Linked DNA regions of Arabidopsis thaliana. The protein of the gene in region 2 interacts with the protein of the main gene of each other region in a pairwise test. Each region holds a gene or a part of one and is shown on either strand. Other genes may lie near its edges.

Region 1 (10,045 bases), on a different chromosome or scaffold from region 2:
CATTGTAACAATTGAAGAGCTCGGTCACGACCTTTGTTATTTTCACAAACACTTCCGTGGCCTTAACCATTGTGTTGTCAAATACCCACTTTATGAAATCCGTTGCTGCGTTATTCTCCCTAGGGGTGTCTTCTGAATTTTCCTCATCTGTAATACAAAAACTGAGTCCCCTGAGAAGTCTGTCAAATGAAATGTTTAGATTGATCAATTCATTATCTCTTTATACCTTGACTTATGCCATTGTTGTACAAGTCCCTAATCTCTCGCACCACATCGTTGTTCATCACCGCCTCCCAAACTGCTTTGTCAGACGACAATGATACTACCATTTTCTGCATTAAAATGTGAAAAAGCCCTTTCTTCATGTACCAAAAAGTAAACATGAGCTTAGTGTAATCAAGAAAACAAAAGAAAGTATCACCTGGACAGATGGTTCGGTTCGTAGTAGGTCAAAAGCATTGTAAACCTGATCATAAGCATGAGGCTTTAACGTTCTTGAATGGCATAAATGCATTGATGGCTCCATCCAGTCCGAATCCGACCCGAATGAAGGAACTTGATGAACCATCCCTGTGGCTATAGGGCTCTGGTTTCCACCACCATTTTCCGGATAGCACTCGTATTTGTCTCTAACCAGCTGGGAATATGAACTAGCATCGAAAACCCTTCAAGAAAATAAAACAAAACCGTTACTCCAACACGTAAACAGAACACAAATATTTCGAAATCCATAAGATAACAAAGACCAATTACTATTATGAATAAACCAGCAAACAACTTTTGAAAGTATTTTAAGTACAAAACAACTGAGTGGGGTCACGGAGACACAGCTGAAAGAGTTTCAAACTTCTTCAAGATCATCAAATCAAGACAATTCCATCCATATCAGGAAAGAAAACAATTAAACTTTGAGACACTATAGCAGTCCATAACAATTCTCGTGTCTCTCTCTATTACTTAGACAACTCGTGGGAACTAATACCTACCACTCAAAAGTGATCAATTTATGAGATTTTATGACAATAATTTCCACAAGACTCAAACTCAAATAGTCACATCCAAAGAATCACACATTTTCAAGTGAAATGAGAAAAGAGAAGAAATTAGATTACTGCTGGAGAGCAGAAACAGCATCTTGGACTTCATCAACAGAAGGAACAGAGCCAAACAGAGAATCATCTTCTTCCTCAGAAACCCACTCAAAATCATCATAACCTCCAGAATTAACAAAGGAAAAAGGACCGCCGCCGCTCCATCCGGAGGTTGCAGCCACCGGAAGATTCAACAACAACCCAGAAGCCGCGGAATACGTCAGATTATTCGACCCAGAAGAAGAAGATCTCTGTTTCTGGACATGCGAAACAGAGGCGTTTCCAGCCGGAGACGACGTGGACGATGATGATGAAGAAGCAAAGGGATCTTGAATACCACCGTTGGCTACACCGGTCCTCGTCATCGCACGACCGGCGGCGCGTAACATACCTCCGCCGCCACCCATAGGCCCTCTTCCTCCACCAAACATAGAGAGATCACTATCAAATTGTTTTTACTTACACGACAGGTTGCGTATGTTTACTCGGTGAGTTTGTCTTTTGGTCCGATGCTATTTCGTAGGCTTTTTACTTGAAGCAGTTTTGATTGAATCGAGGAAGTGGATAAATGCGAAATGTCTTTTATAGATTTTCAGGAATATATGACTTTCTTTACTTTGCTTTGGTCCTTCTTCTCCACGACACGCTTATCCGTTTACTCTGTTTTCTTTTTTTCCATTAAATGCATTAAAATACTACTCCACTGTTGTTATAATAATAATTGTTTCAATACTGGATTATATATCCCAAATTTATTTGGTACGTCAGCATATGAGTTTCCAAAAACGAAATAAAAACATAATAAAAAAAAAAGAGACTATGCTTTATTATAACTAAAGGTGTACATAGATCAAATCATAAAATTTCATATTCAATTTGGATAATTTGGATGTGGTTAAAAACCTAAAAGTCTAAAACCAGTACGTAATAGTAGTTTTCTTTTTTTCCGTGTAACATATGTATGGGTTTATATAAACCAAAACATATTTGTAGGTCTTTTTCATTTTGAGTTTCGGTAGCGTTTTCAATTGGATTTTATTTGAATTTTAATCCAAAATAATGGATTTTTATCATAGTTAGACAAAAATTTCACGGAATTTATGGGTAAATAGTTTTTCTTTTGTTCGTGAATGTCAACGAACATAGGCATTTTTAGTGTGGTCAAACTATGTTTAAGTTGATGTGTGTATGTATCTGACAGGTAAGTCTGTTGTTTTGCAAACATGTTTTCAATATCATTCTTTACCAAAAAATGATATTTTCATATTACAAAGCAGATTATTTTAGAGTAACTTTGTAAACTATTCAAAACAAATGTGTACACAAAGGTTACTTTTGCATTTAAACCTTTATGTAATTAATAAATCAAGTCATTTCAGCCATTAATAAATTAAGATATTTGTATCTAATTCAACATTGTAAATTATCATATTTAAAAGTTCTTCCACTATCAAATTTCATCATCGCCATATAATTAGAGTTTCTACACTCGATCATGTATTAAAAGAAGATCTTGACCACACACACAACAAAAGAAACAAATTGTAAGAAAATACCCATTTGCAAATTTCCTATTAATAAGTTATAAATAAATTATATGTCATTTGCTATTTACTAATGTCATTTATCCAGTTTTCATTGGACAAACTCTGCCTTTTTCGTCCATTTTTTTCTTAAAAAAAGATGGCCATTCATAGTAAAAAGAATATTATGTAGTGCAACACAATATTGATATATATTCTTATATTTTTGACAGAATTTGTTCTTTAGTTTTTGCATCAAACAAAACGAGAATGGAGAAAATAATCATTGATATATTGACCTGAACACTAGTCGTTTACATTCAGAATACACAATAGTAATACGAATACTAGACTCAAGAGCATGAAAACTCCAAAACCAATTTGAAAGTGGGAAGACATTTCGTACGGAAAAAAGGAGAATCAACATAAGAAAATAATAATAGATTTTAAGTTTATAGAGATATTAGATAATTGAAATTTGAAAATAATGTGTCCTGATCGAATATTTCATGATGAATGACTACAGGGGATGAAGATTTTAGCGTCGAGACAAGACAAGTTTAAAATTCGAGTTTTTTCCACCTTTTATCATCAATCATCAAGGAACAATGACATGCCAATTCGTTTTCCATAAGTAACTTTTAATGTTTTTAGCTTCTATAGATACTTTGAATGCTTTTATTCTAAAAGGTCTTTGTTGACAAGGTCAAAGAGCCTAATCGAATCCTCTTGATCAGCCAGAGAGTTTTGCCTTCGTCTTTGGATTTTGCCAAAATTGGTTACTTAATCAGCCAGAGGTTAAAACTCGTAAACCGGCGTTTAAATTGAACCGGCCAAATCACGGTTCAAATGCGAACCAATGTTGTAGGTGAACTCTACCAAAGTCTTGTACCACTCCACTATGCATAAAGGGGAGGAGACAAAAAGACGTGAGGAAGACATAGATCATGCGTGCAACTATGGCCAAACTCGATATAATAATGGCGTTGAGGAATGTAGTTAAATACCAAATAATTAGGGAATTAAGAGATAAACTATGATTAAACTAATAGTCAAGGCCTAAGGTTGGAGAAAACTTCTTTCTTTTAGAACACACTCTCCTTCTGTCACTCTGATAATGAAGAAAATTCAGGCGAGAGAACAAAAGAGTATATACCCAGGACTGATCCTCCTTTGACCATTAACATGACCAACTTGTCTCATTTTCTTATTATTTTTGATGCTTCTTTTCAAATCTTTTTTAGATTCTCTGGTTATAAGAACCCATTGTTTGTATCTGAGATTAGCAGCACCAACGTGGGTCTTCATCTTCTTCTTCTGCTGCTCTCTTTATTTTCTGAAATTGATTGCTCTGTGAAATGGAAGCTTCCACCATTTCTTCTCTCAATTTTTGTATTGGGTTTGACTAAAGTCGCATCCTTTATTTACCAGGTAGGTTCAATTTCTGGTTTTCTTGTTTAACTCTATGCCCTGAAGATGGTCCCTTTGATTGACTTGATCAATGTTTCATAACCTTTCGAATTCTCTGCAATTGCATTGTGCTCAAAGTTGACATTTTTATTGGAAAGTTTGAGTTTTTTTTTTTATCTTTATAAGAAGCTAGCTATTTGTTAGCTTCGATGGTCGTTGAGTGTTGTTGCTTTACGATCCTTTTGGTCGTCCAAATTAGACTCTGAGACATTTGACTTTCAACGCTATTAAGAGTATCTCATGATCGGTATACCTCCGTTAGATTCTGTCAATACTTATTATTATTTGCCTTTTCGGTTTGATGAGTTGATATTCAACATTCAGCTATGTGAGTTCAAATATAATTACTGTCTGTTGATTCCCACTGACTGGAGAGTTTTAGCTTTCCCTTTCTTTCATGTTATCTCTACTTTAGGAACAAAACACTCTTTTTAGAACATTGTTTTGCAGTGTCTGAAATGGTTGTAGTGTGCAGGGTCAATAGAAACAAGAACACAAAAGATTAACAATGAGTAGATCACCAGACAAGCTTGCTCTTCCTCCTCCTCCTCCTCCTCCCCCATCTCGTACCGTCGTTGTGGCTCTAAGTGGGAGCAGTAAAAGCAAATATGTAGTTACATGGGCGATCGAAAAATTTGCTACTGAAGGAAATGTTGGCTTCAAGCTGCTTCACATCCATCCAATGATTACTTCTGTACCTACACCAAGTAAAGTTCCAACTATGCCTTGTATTTCTGTTTCTTTCTTTCTTGTACTCAGGACTTCTTCCTGTGTTTCCCTTTTTTCTATTTGGTATTGTTGTGTAAAACAAAATCAAGACTTATTGTAACTGATAAAAAGCCTGATGTACATTTCTTGCTCCTTCTCAAGTGGGAAATGCAATCCCGATTTCCGAGGTACGAGATGATGTAGTAACTGCATATAGACAGGAAATACTGTGGCAGTCTGAAGAAATGCTTAAACCTTACACAAAACTGTTCGTGCGGAGAAAGGTATTTTCTTTGGTATAATGAGATATCTTACGCTCTTCTTTAATGAAAATTTCAAGGTTACATGAACTCATTGAATTACCTTAATGAAAGGTTGCAGTAGAAGTTCTTGTGATCGAATCAGATAATGTGGCAGCCGCAATAGCTGAAGAAGTGACTCGGGATTCAATAGACAGAATTGTCATTGGAGGCTCATCCCGTAGTTTTTTCTCAAGGTACACTACCACCCTGCTGCTAGCTTTCGACCTTTGTTCTTTCTATTCCGTGTACCAATGAATCTGTTTTGAAAATTCCAGGAAAGCTGATATTTGCTCGGTGATATCAGCTTTGATGCCAAACTTTTGTACAGTCTATGTTGTTTCAAAAGGTAAATTGTCATGCGTCCGACCATCAGACTCAGACGGAAATGCTACTATAAGAGAAGATGGTAGTGAGAGAACAAATTCTTCAAGCGGTTCTTCTGGTCCCACCTCAGGTCCATGACTCATCAATGTATTTGTGTGAATACTCTACTAGAAATGGTGTGTATATCTAATTCTGTTACCCCATTTTCTCTTCTAGATTCATCAGATGTAATGTCAAGTGCGCATGACTCTCAATCTCGTCCTCTATCCCTTCCGGTCAGGAGAATGCAACATTTCCCTGCAATTGCAGGACAGGCATCAGTTCCAATGGAAACGAGTTCTGTTGGCTCGGATGAAACCAGGTGCATGTCTTTGGATGCAGAGGAAGCTAGAGATGTTTCAAGTATCAATAGAAGCAGCACAGATACTACATCACGTTGGACTCCTCGGCGTAGAGATTATGAGGAGAGAAAAGAAGCTATGAGTTCTTCTTCGAGCAACCGTGAATACGGGAATTTTGGTACTAGGTTTAGTTGGAGTGGCATGGGTGTCGATACTACACACTCTCGGGCTTCTCAACAAGCTTCCAACATGTCTGATGCTCTAAGTGAACAATCCTATACAGACAACCAGGTATAAAATGGAGTTTTAATTTCGACATTGTCTTGTGAATCGGAATAATATAAGATTATTTGTTCAGGTAAACCTAAACTTTGAGGTTGAGAAGTTGAGAGCTGAGCTTAGACACGTTCAAGAAATGTATGCTGTGGCTCAAACCGAAACCTTTGATGCTTCTCGAAAGGTGAAGGCCTCATAATATCATATATCTTTGCATTTGATGAAACTTATTAAATTGTGCTCAATGCTTTTCTGAAAATGTTTCAGCTTGGTGAACTTAACCAACGTCGGTTAGAAGAAGCCATAAAGCTTGAAGAGCTAAAGCTGAAGGAGTATGAAGCTCGAGAGTTAGCAGAAAAGGAAAAGCAGAATTTTGAGAAGGCAAGGAGAGATGCAGAGAGCATGAGAGAAAGAGCAGAGAGAGAAATTGCGCAGAGAAGAGAAGCCGAAAGGAAATCCGCACGTGATACTAAAGAGAAAGAGAAGCTCGAGGGCACTCTCGGGTCTCCTCAGCTGCAATATCAGCACTTTGCTTGGGAAGAAATTATGGCTGCCACTTCATCATTCTCAGAAGAACTGAAGATCGGAATGGGAGCTTACGGAGCTGTTTACAAGTGTAATCTGCATCATACAACTGCAGTTGTCAAAGTTTTGCAGTCAGCTGAAAATCAACTTTCCAAACAATTCCAACAAGAGGTATGGAAGTGAGCTCAAATTTGGTTTAAGGAACTTTGTTTGAGATTTTGTGCCTTTCACTATATGGAAGTTTTCTGATTTTAATTTCAATTCTTGTGGATAAGAGTCTACATTTATCTCACTGGCCTCTCTAATTTGCAGCTCGAAATCTTGAGCAAGATTAGGCATCCACATTTGGTTCTCCTTCTAGGAGCGTGCCCGGAGCAAGGTGCTTTAGTTTATGAGTACATGGAAAACGGTAGCTTGGAGGACAGACTTTTCCAGGTCAACAACAGTCCGCCACTCCCGTGGTTTGAGCGGTTTAGGATTGCTTGGGAAGTTGCAGCGGCTCTTGTCTTCCTCCACAAATCAAAGCCTAAACCAATCATTCACCGTGATCTTAAACCTGCAAACATCTTACTTGATCACAACTTTGTCAGCAAAGTTGGAGACGTGGGACTCTCAACGATGGTTCAAGTCGATCCTCTATCAACTAAATTCACTATATACAAACAAACAAGCCCCGTGGGAACGTTATGCTATATTGATCCGGAATATCAGCGCACTGGAAGGATATCATCGAAATCAGATATCTACTCCTTTGGAATGATTCTTCTTCAGCTTCTCACAGCAAAACCTGCTATTGCATTGACACATTTCGTTGAGAGCGCAATGGATAGTAATGATGAGTTCCTTAAGATCTTAGATCAGAAAGCCGGTAACTGGCCGATTGAAGAAACCCGGGAATTGGCCGCATTAGCTTTGTGTTGTACAGAGCTACGCGGGAAAGATAGACCTGATTTGAAAGATCAGATTCTTCCAGCGCTCGAAAACCTAAAGAAAGTAGCTGAAAAGGCAAGGAACTCATTTTCCGGCGTATCGACACAGCCTCCCACTCATTTCATCTGCCCATTACTTAAGGTAAACTCTATATAAAACCTTGTTCAATGTTGAAACATCTCATCTCAGTGTGTTGTGGTGAAAATGTGTGAGCTTGTGTGGTATAATGCAGGACGTGATGAACGAGCCGTGCGTTGCAGCAGACGGATACACATACGACCGTCATGCGATAGAGGAGTGGCTTAAGGAGCACAACACATCGCCGATGACGGATTCACCGTTGCATAGCAAGAACCTTTTACCCAATTATACTCTTTACACAGCCATCATGGAATGGAGGTCTACACGATAGTAGTAAGCCAAACTGTGTAGCGTTTTTGTGGATATATAAACGGCAAGACGTTTTGCTTTGTACTACTACTACACACATGCTGAATCAAAAATATAAACCGAAACGAAACCTTAATCATCTTGTAAACGAATATTCGGATCCATCCGTTAATTTGCCTCCAAATAAGAACACAAAACCATTGCCCTTTATTTTTCATTTTGGTATTTTGGTCTTTTTTGTCTCTCTTCCTTTCCATTGCCCAAAAAGAAACAGAAACTTTTCTCCGAGAATCCTCATTTCTCCGTTGAAAAAAGGACCTTGAGAGGAAATGTTTCACTGTTTCTAGGGTTCTTATAATCCACTTCCTCATCATTAGAGAATGGAAAATCTCCTCTTCTCTTTGATATTTCTTCGGATTTCGCTTATGTCCTGAATCTCTTGAAGACCCAATTGAAAAAATCTCAACTTTTTTTCTCCCGGCGTTTCCGGCGATATACAATGCGGATTCTCGTGAATCTCATTCTCTTCTCCTTGATTCCTCTGGCGTTCTCCAATGAAAACTCCAGCTCGTATCTCATTGCGCGACCATTGATCTTCGAAACCCAGCTCAAGAACATAAACGACAATGTCAATCTACATTGCACGAGCTGGAGATTCGCGGCGGAGACAAACAATCTCGCTCCATGGAAAACCATTCCAGCTGAATGCGCCGATTACGTGAAAGATTACCTGATGGGTGAAGGTTACGTCGTCGATGTGGAGAGAGTCTCCGAAGAAGCTAAGGTTTACGCGAGCAGCTTCGAATCTAACGGTGACGGGAAAGACATTTGGATTTTCGATATTGATGAGACGTTATTGTCGAATCTTCCTTATTACATGGAACACGGTTGTGGGTAATTTATCTTAAATCTTTCATTTTACAACATTGCTATAAAAAGTTGGTTCCTTGATAATTGTATAGATGGATTTGTCTTTTTACTATGTCGAATTAGTTAAGATTTGAGGTATGTGTTGTTGTCTGTCTTTTTCTTTGCTTGTTTGTCTATGTATGATAAATGTGAATGTTTGTTCTGTTTGGGAATTTGCAGGTTGGAAGTTTTTGATCATTCAAAGTTTGATATGTGGGTAGAGAAAGGGATAGCACCTGCTATAGCACCAAGCTTGAAGCTTTACCAAAAGGTTATACATTTGGGGTACAAAGTTATCTTGCTTACAGGGCGTAGAGAGAACCACCGGGTTATCACTGTCGAAAACCTGCGCAATGCCGGTTTCCATAACTGGGACAAGCTTATTCTGAGGTATGCATACTCTACTTTTGGACCTCCATTACAATGTAGCTCATACAGTTTTTAACCAACTATTGATCTGGATCCATGGTTGTGGTAACATGACGTTGTTTGATCTTGGATTGTAATCTTGGGTTTGAATGGATGATTGACGCTTTGGTTTGCTGCTTAATGTTAATAGATCGTTGGATGATCGGAACAAAACAGCGACCATGTACAAGTCAGAGAAGAGAGAGGAGATGGTGAAAGAAGGGTATAGGATCAGAGGCAATTCAGGTGACCAATGGAGTGATTTGTTGGGTTCTGCAATGTCAGAAAGATCCTTCAAACTTCCAAATCCAATGTATTATATCCCCTGAAGGGGATCAACTAGAATCAGGAGGCAATTCAGGTTACTAAATGGAGCAACCTACTGTTTTTGAAGTTTGGGTTGCCATGTAATCACTTGCAATAAATATATGTACTAATGACTGCATCGGCTTGCGTGTCTAAATTTGTAGCTTATTGAAAACTTTTTGTGGTTAAAGACGAATCCAGTTAACTAACATAAGTTTAACAAAACAAGACCTTTTCCATATATAGACCACCGTTACCAACTTACAAAGAAGCCAAATAAAGTACAACACAACACTTGCAAGTTACAAAAAGAGAGGAAAAAAAACATGGTACCATTTGACAACATATAGAAACACACATAAACATTACTTATAACAAAAAGATTCAAACTCGGCTTTTATTATCTCCCCCTGATCAAATTCTAAACACTTTATTCCTCATAAACTAACTCCCCGACATTGGAGTTATTGGACTATGACGATGACATCAGTGGGGTAACTTAAGTAGTGTGCTGGCCACCACGAGTACGGTCACGGTCATGT
Region 2 (7,031 bases):
GGAAAGGCAATGTGTGGTATGACATGTCTTACGATGATGCGATTAAGCAGACAATAGAGAAAAGAAAAGAAGGGTCTACCTTGGCGAGTCAAGAAGAAGAAACAGAGTCAGAGGAAGAAGAAGAGGATGACGATGATTTTGACGATTTTGACTATAGCATTCTGAGTGATGAGAGCAGTATCGGTTACTCGGAACAGCAACCTCTTGTTAACGGTACTCAAGTCTTGACAGACTGATGTTTAAAAGGAAAGTAAAAATAAGAAATTGTCGAGGTTGATTTATTTGAATTTTTGTCTGTTAGGTTTGATCTATTTGATAGTTTTTTTTTTTCATTTCTTCTTATCCCGGAGATAGTAAAATCAGTTTCTTATTAACTTAGCCAGACGTTTGGGATCTTGTAGTACACCGTTGAACGTTAGGAACGTGACGTTTTTTGTTTTTTCTATCAATCGTCGTCAGAGAAGGTAGTCTTGACACCGCAAAATACGCCTAAATGTTTCTCTTGTTTCTTCTGTTTGGGCTCCAAAACATCAACTTCTATCAAAAGGCTTTCTCGTTCGTACCTGGAATATCAAAAACCCTTGTCATCTCTCCGTGTATACCAAAAACTTCACACCATGTGTGCTCTTTGATGACAAAACTCTTAAGGCAAACTCTTACCAAAGCTACTCTGCAAGGTTGTACCTAATTCACAAAAATAATAGCATTAAACTTGTACAATGACATCAAAACTCTAAAGCAATAAGTTAGAGAACCAAATCTCCATAACATGGAAAATCAGTTTACTTGGGTCGGAGAGGGTATGGAGCTATCTCAGCTACGGAGAAGATGAAAACAGAGACGGTTTATTAGCCTGGAAGAGTTCGTTGAGAGCAGCAAAAGAAGTTATAAATATAAACCTTGAAGAGGAAGAGAGCGAGAGAAAAGAGGTGCTCCGAGTTGTATATGCTCGTTAAGGGTTTTCGCTCTTCTTTGTGGGCCTTAAAAGGCTAATAAGCTTCGGCCCAATTTTATTATTCTGTTTAAATCGTCCGTTGACTTGTTTTATTTTATACAACCAAAAACAATCTTCATACATATTGTTTACGGTTTAAGGATGGTGTTTGCAACGTCTCAGTACTCCGCTTCTGATCAGTTAGGTCATTAACAATAGTAACGGAAGATTAAGTAATACTAAAAGATTCTAACAAACAATTTACAAAAGAAAAGTCTCCTTAAAATTCTTAACTAAATTATTATACAATTTATGTCCAATGTAGGTAGACTTGTATTGCTATTTAAAACTCTTAATTTATTTATGTTTTGATTAATTTGATTATATATAACGAAAAATAAATTCAAAAAGATTCTAAAAAACAATTTATAAAAGAAAAGTCCCCGGCTAAACACTATTCATTTGACCCTTAAAAACTCGATTATAGTATCATACAATGTCTTTGATTTTAGTCTTGTAGCGCTATTTCTTATCCGGAGATGGTAAAATCAGTTTCTCATTAACTTAACGATTTGGAATTTGGTACACACCGTTGATTTGAATGTTTTGAATCTGACGTCTTCTTCTTTTTTTGTCAAAAAATGGAACTGATGTTTAAGTTCCAAAAACACAGCTACACATAGTTAAACATTGGTCCATGTGGCATTTCTATTATGGCATAGATGATATATAGATGTCCCACGTATCATTAGATATCGCACTTTTACCGCAGGTAGACTGTAGTACATTCAAAGCTGTAGTACAACATTTATTCCTCACCCTCCTTTTTTGTTTTCTTTTGCTCCGACGTATCACGTTTATTGGGTCGTTTACTTTCTTATATTCCTTGTTTCCTCAAAACGTGAGTGCCGACAAAAGAAAAGAAAATATCAAAATCAAAATGTGATGAGTTCGACTGAAATATCTCTTCAAGTGAGTAACTAGCTCAAAGTAAGACCGGTTCGCTCACACTTTTTTGTAGCAATCAAGATGGTATGTTTCACATTTTTTGGACCATTTTGGAATTTGCATGTTTGGACGATCACTCGGACCGTAATTTCCAACCGTCCTTGCCGTGAAATCTCACAACATGCGTCCAATATAGGTGGGAACCGCACCGACGATACGCATTAAATACTTACAAAATTTTCCTTCATTAATTATTTTTAAGCAACAAGCTTGAAATTTAGCATCACAAATGCGTCAAGAACAAACAAAAGAAAGATGCATTTTTTACAAAAATTCTTAAATAAAAAACTATTTAAAAAACAACCAAAAACAAAGAAGGCATAAGAACAAAAACGACATAAATATATGTTAAACCATTAGAAATCTAATTAGTTCTGAATCCATATTTTATCATTGGAGGACATATCATGTGTAATGTTCGTGCCCATAGTGACTAAAGTTGATCTAACGGTGTCAAAGGCACAAAGCGGCCTTAACGTCGAGCCTCCAAGCAAAACCACCACCGACGTCCATTCTCCACACGTCGCAAGGCACCGTGACTGAGCCTCTCTCACGATTTTGACACGTGTACTGGAGTTTCATTCTGCATGTGAATCCAGGGGACGTTAGCATCGGCCTCTCCCTCATCACCAACCGTACGATCACGTGAAAACTATCGCCGCTAGTTATCTCCGGTGCACCTTCTTCCACGGGAATAATATCCCTAGCCATCTTCCGATACGCGTCATTAGTCCACGTGACTCTCCCTGAACCGTCGGATATGAAACCAGGACACGTGTCTCTCACAAGATTCATCTTCCTTTCTTCATCTGACCTCCCTAAACCGTAACCGTCAATCCAAGCGTCCGTTACACGCTCCACCGTCATACACGACGAAATCACCACCGTCCTCTGCACAATCTCCGGTGTCTGATAAGCCGGTGTGAGCATCCCTCCGCCGTCTTTGAAACTCAACCATAACGGACCCTGCCGCTTCTGCTTCTCCACCGCCGCCTTAAGATCTATAGGTTTCTCCGGTAATAGAGAAAGAGTCACCGCATTAGCACTGCCGTGAACGACGGGTTTATCCGACGTCTTCCGCCGGGTGCACCTCTTGGCGTTACCACCATTCTCCTTCAGCTGATGACATTTCCTCTTTCTTCTACTAGCTGATCTAAAGGAAACGTCGGAGCTTCCGCCGCCGCTATCTCCGCTGGATACGGGATTTACTCCGCCGGGGCTGGCCGGTTTAGGAGCAATGGGACGAAATCGAAGCATGATGCGATCTGCTTTGGAAAGATCGTACGGTCCAGAGCCAATGGCGTACCTAGCTATGCAACACCCTCCCCTACCGTCCATTTTTTCTCGCTATCTATATCACTCTTGATATTTTTGTGTAAAGAATGTTTGAGAATTAGGTAAAAGCTTTACTTGAGCTGAGGAATACACTGAACAGAAATGGTAAGGGTTTTATAACGTCTGTGATCTGGACACGTGTTGGAGTCTATACTAGTTGTGACATGGACACGTGTCTTTGCCTGCACGCTTGTGGTTGTGTTGGGTCTAGAAGACAGTAGTAAAGGGTTTGGGTTGCACATGGAAAGTTATTCTCTCTTTTTGTTTTTTTGCCTAAGTTATTCTCCCAACTCTAACCATTAATTTTACCGTTCAGTAAAAAGAACTGTAACTTTATATATTAGTGTAGGAGAAAAAAAAGTTTGGTCTATGCTATGACAGGAGTGATAGTTCTTGTTGCAAGAAGAAAACATAGTTCTTGTTGAAGATTATGTATTTTGGGTCGAGTTTTTTTTTTGGTTAACTTCACATAAATCTATGCATATAATCTTTTTGATTATTTTTACCACTAACCCTCAACTCATTGCTTCGTTTTGGGGCAACGTCAAAAAAATGTTAGGCAAAAAGATAAAAAGGTATAATTTGGTTAAAATTAGTGACAACATCCCTATACAATTGTGAACGAACTAATAAGATTCTTGGACTTTCGTATATTTCCCAACCACACTCTTAAAACTAATCCATATACTATAAATTTAAGAATAACACAGTTTTTTTATTTAAGTTTTTTTTTTGTTATTTGCCAATCAAGTACTAATACAACCATATATAGAGTGGATCACTGGTCAGTAATTAGTTCCAAAATTTGCAAATTAATCTCCACTTACGAAGCGATTTACTGATGTAACAATAGTGAAGAGATGGCAAAATCAAGTTAAAATATCTGACAACAAAAATGGTTTTTATACGCACGAGTCACACGACTCAAAAGGTGATGAGTCGATCGATTATAATTATAATCATTGACCAAGTCTAAATTTAAAGCGAATGGCATCTTAATTAAATTTAAAGTGATTGTGACAAATTAGATCTGAAAGGGGACAAGATGATCTCATGCGTAAATGAACTTAAAGATTTGGTGACAAAAATAAAGATTAGTGCCAATGGAGTTAGGTAATCGTTATTGAAATATCAAGAAGGAATATTGATTAATCAAATATACTCCTATTGTACCTATCTATAGTAAATGATTATAACAAGTATAATCATCTATATCTGGTTTATAGGTGTTTCCTTAATTTAGCTATTAATATTAGAGGAATTCTTATGGACAAAACTTGGATACATTCATAATACATATATAAATTTTACTTGAGCTTCTGCTTCGAGATCTTCTTTTGAGGATAGACATATTCAAACAATAACGGATTTGACAAATAACAGTTATAGTTTGACCAGTAAATGAGTTTAATGGCTATTAGCGACTTGATATATATGTTTTACGAGTTCGAATCTAATTTTTGCAAATGGGAACAAAGAAAAAATTTAGGCCAGTGGACCTATGCCAAACAAAGAGTTTGATTGTGTAACTTTGTTTTCTCAAGAGATGGTAATTAGTTTCAATCTTCTATATGCGTCAGATACATATTACTGTCCAAACCATTTTAAATTTCTGATGAGCTAAAAACATTCTCAAAAAGACATTATTCAATCTGTTTGAAGTCTATTTTTTTGGGTAGAATAATAAACATCTCATAAGAGTTCAAACCAAAATCTTAGTCTCCAAAGATTTTTTGTTATCCGTCGGCTTAGTTTCTAGGATTATCTTGTTAATCGCCAGCTTTAGCTTTGTAAAACTCTATCTATAATCTATCTTTCAGTGAAAAAAACGAAAAAAAGGAGTTCAAACCAAAATCATATGCACCAACAGTTTAGTCTAAAATAATTTGGATGTTAAGTAATATTTAGATAATACGATTGACTGTATTATAGAATAACGGAATTGTATTAAATAAATTTTATGTAGAATGAAAAATAAAAAATCATTAAAAAAAATTAATTTCTATATGTCATAAAAAAGGTTCATTTAATCCCTTGGTTTATGAATGATAAAATGAGTGAATATAAACCAGTCAGAATTTATAGTTTTGGTTCGTAATATTTGTTGTCGTTTCATAACTTAGGTTCAAATCTGAGAGTGAGTTAATAAACAAAATTCCCAAATCTTAAACTTAGACTAGAGTTCTAACCAAACAAATCTTGTAAAAAACTATTTAATCTTAGATTTGGGATAGTAGTGTTCGAAGGTGCGAGGGAATCTAGAAAGTATTACGAGTGGTCCGTGTTGTGAACTTTGCATGAGAACACGCAAAAGGACACGTTAAGACAATTCATTAGCTTATGTTTATAATAATCTTTTTTTTTTTTTTTGCTAAGAATATGTTTATAATAATCATCACATAAACTATTAGTAGTTAACTTTATTTGTTTATTTAATCAAATGAAATTAACCAAAACCAGTTATACTAAGCATAAAGTACTCATCACTTTTTTATATGTTTTAAGTACAGCACATTTATCGCTGGAAGTGTTTTCACTCTAGAACCACAATCTTTTTTTCGACTAAGACATCAGTAGTCAAATATTCAAATCTAATTTGGTATAAGTCATTATAATTATGATTATGTTAGCATGTTTTCTTATAAATATCAGGTTTTAGAGTTGGTAACTCCGTCCACACTTTGGTTTTCCAATTTTTCTTGAAGTTTTTGAAATCTTGTTAGTTTGTGAACTACAAAACTCGGAAAAACAAAATTAAATATCATTAGGTTTAATATGGTTAGCTAGAATGATCTTAATTGTTTTTTTCAGTGGAGTTTTGGAATCAACATTTGGAATTGTAGTTCAAAAAGATTTTAATATCTTTAAAAAATAAAATAATAATATCATTTCGTACGGTTTAATATGTGGAATTAACATTTCATTCAAATATGAGTCGTGGACCATATATATTTGCATTCACGATCAATAGTTGCATTGCTTCTGCTTTGAGATAAACAGCATGGACTGATCAAGATGACTTCTTATTGGAAATGGTATGTGTTTTCAACATCACTAGATTTGTTTTTGGGTATCCAATGTTTTCTTTTTTCCGTTTACAACTATTTTTTCAGTCTAGTTTAGCAAAAAAAACTATTTTTCAGTTTTCATGTTTATAATAATTTAATTAGTAAATTGTTTGGATCATATAGTGTTAGACTTAGAAGTTTAATTTTTTCTTTGTACGTCTTGATTTTTTGGACTGATTAGCCATTTCAAATATATAATATAATTACTATGTTTGGGAAGAAAAAGAAAAAAAGTGATTCATTGATTGGTGGGCAAGGCTTGGTAGTTACTTGTATAAAATATAGTAACAAAAATGTTCACCCTCTTTTAATATGCCGTCTGGAACACGTGGCACGTCTCATATAGGTTGCCACAATACCTAGTACCTACCTACGCAATTTGAATATTTGGTATGTTCATAAGATAAGTTTCACAAATCTTATCAGTTCAATTAATAAAATATGATTCGATTCTTATAATTAATATTGAGTTGATCTTCCGATGAAGACAGTTGTTCTGAGGGCCATCTAATATTATATTCGCACTTCAAGATTAACTTCAAGATAGTTCTAAAATGTAAGGAAGCAATGTTATCTTTTATATGCGAGGAGGAAAGTTTTGAAAACCAAATTATACGGATCAAAGTTCTTATAAAACAGTAATTAATTAAATCTAAATTACACCAACAAAAGCTAATTATAACTCA
Region 3 (6,830 bases), on a different chromosome or scaffold from region 2:
TACCTCATCCTTCTTCTCAAGCACATTCGGAAAAACAGAATCTTCTTCCAATTTTGTACCTAAATCAGGTTCTTCTTTCACCTTGACATCAACACACTCATAATCTAAACCTCTCGAAACAGTTTCAACCACAGATTCCGCTATCGAATCAGCAATCATTTCTTCTTCTTTAACAACCACCAGATTATCAACACACAATTCAGGGTCCACTACCTCAACCTTCACATTACAATCACAACCCGAAGCAGTTGAAACAATTTCAACAACAGAATCTTCTATAGAATCAACAATCATTTCTTCTTCTTCTTTAGCAACCACCAGATTCTCAACAAGCAATTCAGGTTCCACTACCTCTACCTTAACATTACAATCATCACCAGAAGCACTTGAAACAATTTCAACCACAGAATTTTCTATCGAATCAATAATCATCGCTTCTTTGCGATTCTCAACATCTAAATCAGGTTCTCCAATCTCTAGATTCTGCTCCCTAAATGAATCAGATTCTACAATCTCTTTGTTCACACAAGTAAAACCATCACTAATTACCTCGTCTTTCGCCGGAAGCGTAACCTCCGAGTTAGATCCATCGGAGTCAACAAGGCTTTGCTCCGCCGGTAGAGCTGAGATTCGGACTCCAGTGGTTGTTCTGATGACTAGAGAGGATTCGTCTATAAAATCGGGAGTATCTGCAACGATCTTACGATCATCGGAACTCGAAACAGCTTCGGATTCGGTTAACCGCATCTCTGCGTCATCAACAATGGCCATTTGGGAAGAAAGGAGGAGAGGGAAGAGAGAGGCGAAAATGGAGGATGAGAGTGGGGGGCGTAGGGGTTTTAAATAGGAATTGGTCTTTTGGGATTCTAGTTTTGGCGCGAATTGAAGTGAATGGGTTTGGTAATAAAATTGGCGGGGTGTTTTTTGGAGCCGAAATTACTGTAAATCTCGCCGTTAATTTACCAAATTTATGTGTAAAATTTTGCCTCTTTGCAGGATATTTAGAGTATTTCCTTTTGCAAACCTTAAAATTAGGTAAGCGAATTTGGTTAATCGATTTTTTTGCTTTTTCAAAAATCTTACCGAAATTATGATAAAAAATTATTTGGTTCGGATATCTGCTATTTTTAAATAAAAATAAAATCTACCAACACCTTTTTCTTTTTTTTTTTTTGTTGAAATTCAGTTAATGTTTTTAGATTTCTGAGTTTTCGGTTAATTCGCTTCAGTTTTCTCAATCCAAAGGACTGGATTCGACCCAAATATTTTATTCGTGTTGCCTTCTTTAATTGCTCCATAGCTTGTATAACATCCAATATTTGATTATTGATTTGTATTTTAGGTTTGGATTCTTTTACTCTAACTGGTCATTACAAATGAGGATCCGCGCCAATTATGTCATCTTCAACATTTTTTTAATTTTTCAATGACTTATGTTTCCAGATAAATTTTATGTTAAGTGCACACTATAAAATTTTTAGATTATTATACATGTTCATTATTGTAAAAAGAAGGGCATGGATGAACATTAAGCAGTAATATAATTTGTTTTTTATTAATGTTTAACAAAATTACAATACCTTATTTAATATCACTAATACTGTAACGACAAAGTTTTCTTTCAAAACTACATGTACGAATATACTTACCCCGTCTCATACAAGCTCTTGCGCAATCAAAACAGTAACCAATTCTCCCAATTTTAAGTTCTTGGTTCAGTGAGCGTGGATCAAAAGGACTTGCTCTTGGACTGAAAGAATATGTTCTCTCTTCATCACTAGATCCATTTATAAGTACTGATGTACCTATCAAATTTTCAAAAGATATATCAAATTCTTAAACAGTTTTTGTAATGATTATAATACTGACACATTATCCTAATTAAATAATTTAAACTTACATGAAGAAACAAAAATTAATAGAGTTAAGAATATAATAGGCAACTTCATTTCTTGGTAGAAATTAACCAATATCACAAAGAAAATATATTAAATATTATTGTGAATCGTTTTTCTTTTGTTTTGCTCTGGAGTATTAAAGCAATATTTAGTCATATTTATAGACTCTGTAGATAAATATGTTATATAAAGAGTTAATTTTCAGTTAAACGTTTTATTTTGTTATAAAGTAAAATTTAGTAACATATTACGTTTGTTTTTGTTTTAAAATTATAATTTTTTAGTTATTAAAATCTGTTATATATTGGTATAAATAGTAATATACATCTAATAAGTGCAAACAATTACATGTTTAAAACTTTAGATTTCAAAAATTACTATTGATGCCCACATTTTATTTAAAATATTTAATTCGAGGAACTAATAAATATATAATATAATTTGATTAAAAATATCAAAAAGTTCTATATTATATATATACTAACTCATGATGCCTATCTTGCTTTTCTAACAAAATCTTAAATCACTTTTGGATTCCTTATTAATACTTATGATCTTAAAGATGACCAAATCAATTAAATTCTTATATGCCTCGAATCAATCCAAACTCTTTCTACATATGTATATCTTTTAGTTATAAATTGCTTAAATTATTTATTAATAAGAAAATCTTTAAATCACCTTATTTCATTTTTTTTTTTGAACAAACACCTTTCAGTTTTTATCTATAGAAACAAATTATTCTTCAAAGTCTTATAAACAAAAGTCTTTTAAGTTGTAACCTGATTATTAATAAGATTTGGTATTAAGTTTTTGAGATTGTTTTACCAAAAAAAAAAGAAAAAAACAAGTTTTTGAGATTTAAACGAAAAAAACCCCTCAAGTATCGATAAATCCATTTTAAAGCCCTCAGCTATATTATTAATGAAAAAACCCTTAACTAAGAGATTTAAGTGACAAAAACCCTTAAGTATTAATCAATTTTTTTTACTTTTTGTGCAGCATCTTCAATATCTAAATTAGTAATAAATGATGATAAACTTGGAGACTCTTGTATAACGAAATCAGAAAAAGAATTTTTCGACTTTTAAAGATATATACCTGAAACTGCATAGATTTGAAACTTTTCTAACGGGGATGACACTATCTTTAAACCGTCAAAGTTTTTAATAATATTCCAATACATGATCAAATTTCCAACCATATTTGAAATTTAGATCTTGCATATATATTAGCATTTCTTAATTTCCCTTGATTGAACTGGATACAGTTTTAAGAAAAATATAAATAAATAATGATGCTTGCATGTAGTTTATATAGAATACTCACTACATCATCACTTGAAGCACCACTTGAATGTTTATATTCACATTATTTGATCTATGCATGTTGTTTTCTTGTTGCTTTCTTTTTTTTGGTAGGGAATTGATCTGTACAGAAGTTTTCGTTTGTTTTAAGACTTAAAACTATGGTTAACCAATTAACCTTTTTTTTTGGTGAGAAGAGGGGAGACAACCGACAATATATTACTCAAAACTATATTAAACCAATTAACCTTATCAAATGGAAGTTGCACAAGATAAATTAGATAATAATTAGCATAGACTTAGAGACGTTGACCTCATTAAACCTTATCCTCTCTACACACACACATATATATATTATGCGGATATGCCCTAGTTGCTATAAAACTCGGATGTTAATTAGAATATTTATTTCTACAAGTTATCTTAATCTTAGAATAATAAACACCAAAGCGCGTCTAAATACTTTTATTTCCTAAACTTTGAATCCCAAATGTCAAAGTCTCCTATACAGATGTCAAACCTTATAATTAGCGAAATAGCATAATACAATGACAACTTGATTAATATAATCAATAAAACGAAACGCATACTCATTAAACCTACAATTATAATGAAGTCCTCTTGCAGTTTTTGGTATATAAAGTTCCACACCCTTCTCCCTCAAAACAACCAAAACCAAACACAAATCAATAACATACTAAATGGCTTCAAGAAAACCAAAGGCCAAACCGGTTAATCGCCAATCTGTGAGGCACCCAAGTCACAACCATCCGCTGCGTGTCTTTAAAGCCAAAGAAGAGGATGAGACCGCATGCTCTGGCTGCGAGCTAGAGCTGACCGGGCAAGCTTTCAAATGTATAAAGTCAGAGTGCGATTACTTCTTACACAAGTCATGTTTCGACCTTCCTAGTGAGACCAATAACAAGTCTCACCAGGACCACCCTCTGACCTTGCTTCATTCCCCACCAGATGATCGGTCTGTCTACACGTGTGACGCGTGTGACCAATACGGATCTGGATTTTCTTACCATTGCTCAAACTGCAACTACAGTCTTCATGTGGGATGTGCGTTTATCCCTGAAACCGTAGATCGTGAAGATCATGAACATCCACTCACTCTTCTTTATTGCACACCGTGTAAAGGACGTGAAGACACGTACTTCACTTGCAGCGCTTGTGATGAAACTATTTCAGAAGATCTATGGATGTATTACTGTAAGGATTGTGACTATGGAACACATCTACACTCATGTGCGGCATATGAAGACCAAGGGAAAGAAGAAGAAGATGAAGACGAAGAAGGAGAAGCGAGTTCTCCAGCTTCTAGGATAAAGTCGTTGATGAAGGCGCAAGACGAGATGGCGGCTATGCAGCTAGAGGCACGTATTGAGAATGATGCGAGGAATGCTGCACTTGATCTGTGGGATGAACCAAAACGTAGATACTATTGGTGATCAAGAAGGGACGAATATATTTATGAATATTGATATTTTTCTTTGCGAAATATGGTTTCCAAAAATAAAGAAACAATAGATATATTACTCTTTCTTGTTTGGTTCTTGTTTATTTGTGTGGATTTAATCATAAACACTCGTGTGTAAGTTGTTTATTTTGCAATATGAAGAAGAAGAAAAAATTTAAGTTGATTTGAAGATTTGTTTTCTTTCATTTTCTCTATCGTAACTCGGAAGAGGTTTAGGTAAATATGTAACATAATCAAACATATTGGAACCTTATTTATCTAGAGATGTGACGGTGATTAAAAACTTTGACCCTTTAAAAAACTTTCAAACCCGTATTTTATATAATAAAATAGATTTACAGTATAGATGAGCAAAATAAATTTGTTTAAATGTAAAATGTTTAGAAAAAAACTAACAGTTTCCTTGATTATAATGAATAAGTTTAATTTTTCAAAAATATTTTTTTATTTGTCAAGGACTTATGTTTCCCAATAAATTTCATGTTTAATGCACACTACAAAACTGTTAGATTATTATACATGTTCATTATTGTAAAAAGAAGGACATGGATGAACATTAAACAGCAATATTTTTTATTATTATTAATGTTTAACAAAGTTACAATGCCTTATTTAATATCACTAATACTGCAACGACAAAGTTTTCTTTCAAAACTACATGTACGAATATACTTACCCCGTCTCATACAAGCTCTTGCGCAATCAAAACAGTAACCAATTCTCCCAATTTTAAGTTCTTGGTTCAGTGAGCGTGGATCAAAAGGACTTGTTGTTGGACTGAAAGAATATATTCTCTGTTCATCACTAGATTCATTTATAAGTATTGATGTACCTATCAAATTTTCAAAAGATATATCAAATTTTTAAACAGTTTTTGTAATGATTATAATACTGACACATTATCCTAATTAAATAATTTAGACTTACATGAAGAAACAAAAATTAATAGAGTTAAGAATATAGAAGGACACTTCATTTTTTGGTAGAAATTAACCAATATCACAAAAAAAAATATGAAATGTTTTTGTGAATCGTTTTGGATTTCGTTTTTATTTTGTTTTGCTGTGGATTATTTAAACAATATTTAGTCATATTTATAGACTCAGTAGATAAATATGTTATAAAAGAGTTAATTTCATTTAAACGTTTTATTTTGTTATAAAGGAAAGTTCAGTAACTTATTTCGTTTGTTTTTATGTTTAAATTATAATTATTTAGTTATTAAAATATCTTATATATTGGTATAAATAATAATATATATCTAATAAGTGCATACAATTACCGGTTTAAAACTTTAGATTTTAAAAATTACTATTGATACCCACATTTTATTTAAAATACTTAATTCGAGGAACTAATACTTATATATAATAGAATTTGATTGAAAAGATCAATAATTTCTATATTATATATATACTAAACCCCAAACCAAGCACTAAGAAATATCGCAATGAATCCTACACTTCTATATCTGAAGAATCGAATCCAAACCACAAACTGAATGGGTACCATTATATAATTATATATATAAAATATTAATTATTTTTAGACTGGATGTAAGCCAATGATCCAATATTACAATTATAAATCCAAAAATATTAATTATTTTTTAGATCAAAATAACTAAAATATCCAATAATAACCAAATTATATGAACATTCTTAGTTATATTTATCAAAATTTAAGCAAAGTTTTTTTAAATTTAACCAATTGTTTTATCAGAATATTCGATATTTCGGGTACCCGAACTCGAACAAAACACCCATGGCTAGATTTTTATTTTGTGATAGTTGTTGACATCAGTATATCTAAAGATTTCATTATAGCTGGTCTAGTTAGGGTTACAAATTTGTTTGCACAGCCCACTAAAATCTCCAATGTTTTCTCACAATCTTAATGTTGAGGATTTTTTATTGAGTGCTCTATGTTGTTAATAACGAAAAATGTAGTAATTTCCAAATTAAAGAGCAAATCAACTAGTGCAATGATACATGTTTCTATCTCTCTTAGGTGATCCGAGAATAGATTTAAAAGTTTTTTTTTAATAGGTAATTTTATCATTAACTAGCAACGTTTCCCTTTTGTAAGGAGTTATCTTTATAGTGATATGGAAGAAATAATAAACACCATGACACAAGAATA

What was found. Proteins that work in one complex are often made in the same cells at the same time.
Region 1: the proteins of AT3G48510 (region 2) and AT4G25160 interact in a two-hybrid assay, tested with the Arabidopsis thaliana proteins (one large-scale study listed by BioGRID).
Region 3: the proteins of AT3G48510 (region 2) and AT5G43520 interact in a two-hybrid assay, tested with the Arabidopsis thaliana proteins (one large-scale study listed by BioGRID).

What each region holds. Positions count from the first base shown.
Region 1 is NC_003075.7:12,901,217-12,911,261, reverse strand, and holds AT4G25160 (U-box domain-containing protein kinase family protein), read left to right. Parts: upstream 1-3,665; 5' UTR 3,666-4,045; intron 4,046-4,559; 5' UTR 4,560-4,592; coding exon 4,593-4,791; intron 4,792-4,954; coding exon 4,955-5,076; intron 5,077-5,166; coding exon 5,167-5,288; intron 5,289-5,369; coding exon 5,370-5,548; intron 5,549-5,634; coding exon 5,635-6,050; intron 6,051-6,117; coding exon 6,118-6,219; intron 6,220-6,302; coding exon 6,303-6,731; intron 6,732-6,872; coding exon 6,873-7,631; intron 7,632-7,722; coding exon 7,723-7,902; 3' UTR 7,903-8,082; downstream 8,083-10,045. Other genes in the region: AT4G25170 (Uncharacterized conserved protein (UCP012943)), read right to left, coding at 1-147, 227-332, 422-665, 805-849, 1,113-1,522; AT4G25150 (HAD superfamily, subfamily IIIB acid phosphatase), read left to right, coding at 8,380-8,774, 8,970-9,179, 9,349-9,526; OLEO1 (oleosin 1), read right to left, coding at 10,003-10,045. UniProt on the Arabidopsis thaliana protein: Functions as an E3 ubiquitin ligase.
Region 2 is NC_003074.8:17,965,173-17,972,203, forward strand, and holds AT3G48510 (AtIII18x5-like protein), read right to left. Parts: upstream 3,419-7,031; 5' UTR 3,281-3,418; coding exon 2,396-3,280; 3' UTR 2,182-2,395; downstream 1-2,181. Other genes in the region: PDE312 (Nucleic acid-binding, OB-fold-like protein), read left to right, coding at 1-236.
Region 3 is NC_003076.8:17,483,268-17,490,097, reverse strand, and holds AT5G43520 (Cysteine/Histidine-rich C1 domain family protein), read left to right. Parts: upstream 1-3,788; 5' UTR 3,789-3,906; coding exon 3,907-4,659; 3' UTR 4,660-4,867; downstream 4,868-6,830. Other genes in the region: AT5G43530 (Helicase protein with RING/U-box domain-containing protein), read right to left, coding at 1-771; LURE1.5 (Putative membrane lipoprotein), read right to left, coding at 1,582-1,805, 1,901-1,949; LURE1.4 (Putative membrane lipoprotein), read right to left, coding at 5,297-5,520, 5,616-5,664.